2 linked regions of the Canis lupus familiaris genome follow. Each later gene encodes a partner of the first gene's protein in a complex. Links are inferred from orthologs where the notes say so. Each region holds a gene or a part of one and is shown on either strand. Other genes may lie near its edges.

Evidence for each region.
Region 2: the proteins of CIC (region 1) and YWHAQ are in contact, whole or in part, in a crystal structure (PDB 6KZG), measured with the Homo sapiens proteins. The link is inferred for Canis lupus familiaris from reciprocal best matches to the Homo sapiens genes CIC and YWHAQ. Residues at the interface, in NP_001291744.1 of Homo sapiens: Arg1207, Ser1208, Met1209, Ser1210, Glu1211, Thr1212, Gly1213, Thr1214; in NP_006817.1 of Homo sapiens: Lys49, Arg56, Lys120, Arg127, Tyr128, Gly169, Leu172, Asn173, Val176, Tyr179, Glu180, Leu216, Ile217, Leu220, Asp223, Asn224, Leu227, Trp228.

Annotation. Positions count from the first base shown.
Region 1 is NC_049222.1:112,834,834-112,839,219, forward strand, and holds the start of CIC (protein capicua homolog), read right to left. Parts: upstream 2,832-4,386; 5' UTR 2,683-2,831; intron 2,046-2,682; exon of another isoform or gene 1,897-2,045; intron 1-1,896. UniProt on the Homo sapiens protein: Transcriptional repressor which plays a role in development of the central nervous system (CNS). In concert with ATXN1 and ATXN1L, involved in brain development.
Region 2 is NC_049238.1:6,670,488-6,674,383, forward strand, and holds part of YWHAQ (14-3-3 protein theta), read right to left. Parts: intron 2,695-3,896; coding exon 2,571-2,694; intron 200-2,570; coding exon 36-199; intron 1-35. UniProt on the Homo sapiens protein: Adapter protein implicated in the regulation of a large spectrum of both general and specialized signaling pathways. Binds to a large number of partners, usually by recognition of a phosphoserine or phosphothreonine motif.

The DNA of each region.
Region 1 (4,386 bases):
GCAATCTGGCTGCTCCAGAGTCTGTGCTCCTAACCATTTCAGTGTGCCGCCTGTCACATGATCCAGAGGGCACGCTTCCTTGCACTGTCACTGTCCAGAGAGCACACACACTCATACACACACATGCACAGGAACACAGTCACAGAAAAGGAGGTGACTGGGCTGTGATGTGAGCCTCTCTCCACCCCCACCCCCAACCCCTCTGGGCCACCTGGCATGGCCAGACATTGTGGGAAGGAGTGGGCAGCTGGAAGTCCTAAGGGACGGCTGCCCACTCTTCTCTGCACCCCAGGCCTGCCAGGTATAGCCATCTCCCCAGATCCTGGCAGGGAGCAGGCAGGGGCACGTCTGGGGCAAGAGCTTATACCCAGTACTGCCACGGGGCCGTGCATGAGCACACGCACGCGCACAAAAACACACACAGAGGCACACACACGTCATCACACAGTGGGACACAGAGCTACACCCCAGGGTTTCGCTGTCCCACTGGATGGGAGCCTGCCCCTCCCCCACAGCACCCAGCGTGATACCAGCAAGCCCAGCCCCCCTTCTGGCCTGCACACATCCCCGCCCTGACTGGGCTGCCTCTGGCAGGGTGGCTGAGCTGGCCAGGCCCCCTGGGGCCCCCAAATATGCCCTCCGGCTCCAGGTGGGGGTAAGTGGGAGAAGGTCAAAGAAAGCAGGGCAAGCCCAGCAGGCCAACCTCACCCACTTCCTGAACAGTCATTACTGCCCGCCCCCTTTCAAGCTGCCCTGAGAAAAGAAAAGGGAAAAAACTTTACTCTAAAGTGACTAAGAGAACCTGAGAGGCCAAAAGGGGGCCTCTGGGAGGGTGGGGGTGCCTGGGACCATAACCCAAACGCAATCTGAGACACCCCCAACTCAGTGTGCAAACTCCCCCAGGAACCCCTGATCTCGTGTTCTCCTACTTGGGGCCTGCTCCTCCAGTGGACCCTGCAATCTCAGGCTGCTCCTTCTCTGGACCAATCCTGGGGTCCCCACAGGCAGAGCCTGTAGGGTCCGGGGCTTCTCACACTGGGGCAGGCATCCAAGTGCCCAGGAGTTGGGAAGCTGCCACCACCTTCTCCCCACTGACCCGCTGGGCCACCATCCTGGGGACTGAGATCCGGCCCCAGTCCTGCCCAAACACAAACCTTTGCATACCCCACCCAGGGCCTACAACCATACCGCCTGGCACCCCTGGACCCTGCCACCTGATCCTGCCTCTTCACCCCAAAAGCCAAGCCTTTTTCTTTCCCCTGGGGCCTACTCTCTCCCTGTTCACCCCACTTTGGAGAACTCCCACCCAAGGCCCTGTGGGCCCTCACCTCCTTCAGAATCTAAGCAGTAACTCCTGGAAGCCCAGGCCGGCCCAGGCCCTGGTTCTTCAGGGTCTCATGCCCTCTGGTCCCATCAGCCCTGCTGGCACCAGCTTCTCTGCCACTCTCTCTCCCATCCTGTCACCACCTCTACCTCTCTCCTCACAGGCCCTAGGCCCCCTCCTCAATCACCCCATCCTTGTCACCCTCATCTATCTCTGTCACCTCTTCCTCCCAGTCACTCTCCTGTCAGCCATCTCCGGACCTGTCACCTTTTCTCTCCATCACCTCTCCTTGTCACCCCTCCAACTCTGTCCCCTCCCTCTCCCTGTCACCCTGATCTAGTCCTGTCACCCCTCCATTCCTGTTACCCATTCTCTGCCCACCATCCCCTCTCCGTCACCCCTTTTCTGTCTCTCTTCCTCCCCACCACTTCATCCACTCTATCCCCCCTTCCCACCATCCAACCCACCTTTTTTCCCCCTGTACCCCCTCCCCGTCCCTGCCACCTGTCCCCTCTCGGCCCCCAGCACCCCAAATCCCCCCTGCCCGTGTCAGCCCTGGCCCCGCCCCTCACCTCGGGCTCGGCGGGGTTTCGGGGCGGGGGGCCGTGGCCCCGGCTCGGTCCGGTCCGGTCCCTCCCCGCCCCCCCTCCGGCTCTCCCTCTCGATTCTCCCTTTTTTTTTTTACTCCAACACACAAAATGGTGAATGGACCTGCAACAGCTGGAGCAGCCAGCCAATCACCGGCCACAACCCCGCTGACCGGCGCCGTCCTAGACCAATAGATGTTCGCAGCCTGGTCGGCTCCGCCTCTCCACGACGAGCGACATTCGCCACGACCAATCCCGCCCACCCGGCAGCGCAAGGGGGAGGGGCCAAAGTCCAAGACCGGCCTCCCTCTGGGACCGACACCAACCTGAGCCTACGACCGCCTGATCTGCCTAGGGCCCTGCCCCACAACAAGTGATGGGCATCAGCCTTGACCAATTGCAGGCCGTCCTAGTGCAGAATGACGAATACAGTACCCACTCGCCCTGCACTCTAGGCCGGAACCCAGCCTCTGTTAGGGACAGTAGCCAATGAAGTGCAAGAAGGAAGGGCTAAGGGATAGGCTGTCCAATAAGCGGACTGAGAAGGCGTGGCCTGAGCGTTTGTTGACCGGCTAGTCGCAATTCCTGCTGGGAATGGTAGTCTTCTGACGTCTCCGGCCCATAGTCGACAGTACATAACAGACTACAACTCCCATGTGACAGAGTGCTGTAGCACCAAAGAACTCGGGCGAGGAGAAAAAGTCGGACAGGGCAGTTCCTGTAAGTCTCCCTGCACACCGGGAGCATCTTAGACCCAGGGCCCCAACTCACCCGGATTCCCGGCTCTGGCGTCGCCAGTGGCTCCTCTCAGTAGCGGCTGTAGCGGCACGAGGGGGAGGTGCGAGGAGCAGCCAACCGCCACCCGCAAGCCCCGCAGCCAATCAGCAGCGGCCGGGGCGGCGCAATGACCTCACCGGGTTCTACTCTGTTACCCCTCCCCCACGTGGTTGTTGCTGTCGGTAGCCGGGAGTAGGGAAGTTTGGGGTGGGGGGGAGGGGAGGAGAACGAGTGATGTCACCTTTCCCCCGCTTGATTGGCTGTAGGGTGGCCGGGACTATGACCAATCAACAGCTTCAGAAAGTCCGGCGCGGCCCCGCGGAAAGCCCTGTTGCCACCGGGAGGGGAGAGAACGTGCGCGTGTAGGGTGGCGCGCGCTGCAGTGGAGTGAACGCGCGCGGCCTGGGGCTCGGGGACCCTGGGGAAAAGTCCCCCCTTCCAAGACTTTGACATTTAGGGCGGTGCAGTTTTCTGACAGCTCCCCTCGGCTTGTCGGGGCATGGGATGGGGATATGCGGCGCTCCATGGGGCTTCACACCACATTCCCTTCTCGCTACATTCTGTGGAGAGCTACTTTGTGGGTGTTCGCGCTTGGCGGGAGCGAGATTTTTTTTTTAAGGTCTCGGGTGGGGGGGGTGGAGTTCACACAGGGTAGGGAGGGGAGACATATGCCTTGTCAGTAGTAGATTCCTGCAGCCCGGACACGGAGTTTATGCCAGGTGTGAAGCCGTCTGCAGTGCATCCATTCTCCAAATCCGTTGGATTTGCCCTAGATAGAGGGTAATGGGGAACAGTGAACACTGGCCTTAGGGGAGCCTTCCGCTGCCTGTGATGGGTTCCGAGGATGCACACAGGATTCATCCCAGTTGTGAAGAAAACGCACCCAACCTATCGCAGGTGCATGCTGTGCAACATTCCCACTGTGGGGCCAGTTCATCCCGGGGCTAGGAAGAAATATCAGTTGTCCATTGGGGTTCACTGAGTTTGAAGAGATTCATGTTATCCACCGTCCACAGAAGATTTCGCTTTGAGAGAGGGAGAAATTTCACTGTCTACAAGTTCACACTGAGAAGGAATCTTACACTATTACTTACGCTATTGTATTATGACTTACATATGCCATTTCATAACCATGCTATTTTATGCTATTTTGTGCTATTTTGATCACGTTCCAGAAGAGTGTGCACTTAAGTATCGAGCAGGTTTTGAGTTTAGACTGTATGTTAAGTAGATGCTGGGTCTGAGGGAAGCTTATAGTATCAGAAGAGTTCCCATTGCCTACTCAGGTAGACCCTTGGAGAGTGGTTTACACTGTCATGAAAAGTGTTCACAGCCGCTGCAGAAGGCTCCCCATACATGGAGGTGTGCACTGTCCTTGTTAACTTTGTCATGGATAGGAGACATTATACTGTCCACGGGGAGGCACATACCGGGTGGGAGTTCACATTGCCCATAGCAGATTATATTGCATTAGAGGGAGACTTCCATTGATTGGGATGGTATTTCATGGTCCATGGTCAGTTCACATTAGGTGTGAGGGAGAATCAGCCAGCCGGTGGGGAGGTGTGTCCTGTCTATGAAGGAACTCACCTTGCCCAGGGAGCATTCTGCTGTAGTGAAAGAGCCTGTGCTGTTGGCTCAGGATCTGCTCAGCTGTGGTCAGTTTTACAATGTCCACCAGGCGGGGGGCGGACAGGG
Region 2 (3,896 bases), on another chromosome or scaffold:
TGAGTAAGAACATATAAGAATGACCCGAAACTTACTGTTTTAGCCAGAGTGCAGGCAAGCTCTGGGTTATTAAGGATCTCGTAGTAAAATACAGAAAAGTTAAGAGCCAGCCCCAGGCGAATGGGGTGTGTAGGTTGCATCTCTTTCTTGCTTATATCAAAAGCCTCTTGGTAAGCTCCTTGGGAATTATCTATCGTTTCTGTGAGGGGGGGGGAGAGACAAAAGAAGCACAATACTGAAAATATCCATCAAGTATACAGCATATTAACCTTTAACTTATGCTACTACCTCATGCAGAGCTGGATTTTTCTCTGTGGCCTTCCTTTAAAACCATAGTAGCAAACTGAAAACATTACCTCATACCAGCTTATGGAGAAACTAGTTTATAATGTTGCTTTTTTTATTTTTTTAAAGATTTTATTTATTTATTCATGAGAGACAGAGAAAGAGGCAGACACACAGGAAGAAGGAGAAGCAGGCTCCCTGCAGGGAGCCCAATGTGGGACTTGATCCCTGGACCCAGGATCACGCCCTGAGCTGAAGGCAGATGCTCAACTGCTGAGCTACCCAGGCGTCCCATGTTGCTTGCTTATAATCAGCTTTAAAAAACCCAATATGAGATAGTGCAATTGGATTTTTCCAGATCTGTGACTCAAACAATTTTCTTTTTCCGTATCTTTTAATTTTACTAATTGGAAATGCAGCAATTAAAAATAATTTCACCGATACACGTCAATAATACTTCAATAAAGCTAGAAAAAATTTTTGGCTATCTCTTCTCAAAATCATGAAAACACTTTACAAAGATCATACCACCAAAATCTCTTTTTTTGTGACTTATTTGTAAAAACAATACTAATCCTTGGTATCAAGATGTATTATGTAAAAGGCAATATAAAAGTGTCAAAATACAAAATAAAATCTGCTCTGACAAGAGATTGATTACTGGCCTAATAAAAAGGTTACCTTCCTGAAAAAAGCTGTTCAGTGATTGTTACCAATTCTAATCTGACTATAGCCATGCTTTCAAAAGAGTAGGTAGGTTTTCTCAATGAGACCACTGGCCCATTACAGCTTTAGAAATACTCCTCTAATAGAAATGTAAAGTTAACCTTTTTATGGCCTGAATATAAGGATTTTTCCTTCTTCAGAAATGGCACACTTATTAATCTAAATATAGCTGGTAGAGCCCTCACATAGTAAGGAGTTCTTGCTGTTTGGCATTTAAGGAAGTACTGTAATGAGTAGCAGTAAGGGGTCTCAGCTCCTAAGCTGTAAATACAGACTATGAGTCCCAGTCTACCGGAGTATTCTATGGATAGGGATAGAAATGCCAGGAAGCTAGAAAGGGTTAAATAAGATTAATGCTGGGGCTATGTCCCAGTCTCCCAAAGATATCCTTGTGACTTGCAAATATCTGTTACTTTCAGCTTTGCTTATCTTTATGACAACAGAAATTATACATCAATAAGTTTAGTATACAAATTGTTACAGTAGGATGCAATAGTTTTCTCTTTGTATCTTCAATTACACTGATATTTGGGGTGGTAAAACTGTTCCACTTTCAGTTAGTACCTCTTTGAGGGTAGGAAGCCACAGTAACTACTTGAAAAAGTACACTCTTTTTGGATGGGGCAAAATTAAAAACAAATTAATAAACCTACCAGAAATAAGGAATTGGGTGAAAATTCTAACTAGAATTTGATAAATATGATAGCAGGCACATACACAAAATTTAATAGGACCTGACTTGTACTCAGCTACTAATACTCCAGGAGGCTAAGTCCACTAGTAATAAATTGCTTTGATTTTCTTTTTACAATCAACTCTAGCAATTCATTTATTCTCTTTCCCAGATCTATATTTTCTATGACAAACTATATACCAGCAAAACTCTCACTCACCTCTCTTCCTCAGAAATTTGGTCTTGTAAGTATTGGTAGTCAATGTAATGATCCTTCAAAATAGGTAGTTAATAAATTGTCAAACAGAAAAAGCATAACATGCTGTTTCTATATTCTCTTTGTAATTTCCAGTAAGTTTCAAGGTACGATGACACAAAAGGCCATGTAACAGCACAAACTCTCAAAGCATATGCAAATAACTAGGGGGCTAAAAAATATGCTTCACCAAACTCTAAAGTATAAAAGAGTAATAATAAGCCTCTCTTATTTTTTCTTTATTATTATTATTTTTCACACTGAGTGTGGAGCCCAGCATAGGACCTGAACTCACAACTGTAAAGATCCAGATCTGAGCTGAGATCAAGAGTAGGAAGCTGAATGACTGAGCCACCCAGGCGCCCAAGATTAAGCCTTTTAAATAATATCTTAGCAGATTATCACCAGAATTTGAGTTTAATTTTTCAAAAACAGTACATTATGTAAATTCATGGCTATTTTCATTTTTTAGAACATTAAGGTCACATTACATTAATTTTATCGTATGTAGATTCCAAGATTTTTTAAAAAGTTACAGAGGACCTGGAGATTACATAGCGACTACTGTCACAGTGTCCCACTTATCCTCCCTTCCTTTTTTAACTTTACCTATAAACCAAACATACTTACGTTTTCGATCATCACCACACGCAACTTCAGCAAGGTACCGAAAATAATCTCCCTTCATTTTCAGATAGAAGACCTTACTCTCTGGATTAGTTGCGTTGGCTATTAAATACTTATCCAACAATTCCTGAAAAGAAGGAAGATAAAGTATTAGGTACCAATAAAAAGCTATTTTATTACAGGTAAGCACAATGAAGGACTACCACAGTAACTACAACCATTCCACCTTGGACTTGAAGCATGGACTGAGAGCAGGGGTCATGTAGTTGTCATCAGTTGAATGCTTTGGCCTATAGCAAGTCATAGTTTCTAATAAAGCTAGGTTACATCAAACACTAAATATAAAGAGCTTGTCTATTCACTCATCCATTCATTCAAGTAAGCATTTCTTGGTACTGGCTGGGTGCCAGGCACTGTATTTGGCCAGAGGGGATATAAAGAAAACACAAAGTTCTTGCCCTCAAGGAGCTCACAGTCTTAAGTAAGATACAGAAACATTATCTTGTTTATCCTTTATCTAGGATAGTAGCACCACAGAGAGAGCATCTGGCTGTGCTAGAGGTGGCCACTAGCTAAACAGGATTTCCCTGAAGGGATATTTCTGACTTGTTAAGAAGGAACAGTAGGAATGTATCAGTTCAGAAATGTGCATGTGCAATCAGCTTTTTTTTAGTTTTACATGTTTGTGTGTTTGTGTGTGTATAAGTTATCTCTGCACTCAACGTGGGCCTCAAACTCATAACCCCCAAATCAAGAGTCACGTGCTCTACTGACTGAGCCAGCCAGGCACAATCATTTTAAAGAAGGGAAACAAAATGTTTAAGACATCAAGTATGAAGAATATAATCACAGAACAAGTAAGTCAGCATGGCTCAGAGCAGGGCTGGCTGTTCAGTGTCTCTTACAGACTACTGCTCATCCAAAATAAGGGTAAATACAGGGATCAAGAGAAAGTACTTTAGAAACAATGACAGTCATGTCTACTGAATAGAATTATTTGAAAAAATATTGGGTTAGTAACTAAGTACGACTTCATTCCCTATTTTATTCAAAGAAATGTACCCTTGGATCCAATGAGCTAGTAGCGCTTCTCAAACTGAGGGATTTATACAAGATGTGCCACAAGAATAAAAAGTCACAGAAGAGGGGGTGTCTGGCTGGCTCAGTGGGGCATGCAACTCTTGAACTCAGGGTTTTGAGTTCCAGCCCCTGCACTGGGTGTAGATATTACTTAAAAAGAAAATCTTCTTAAAAAAAAAAAAAAAAGTCACAGAAGACAAATAGGATAGAGATCTTCTTGAACTATCAATTTTACTTGATGGTACGTAA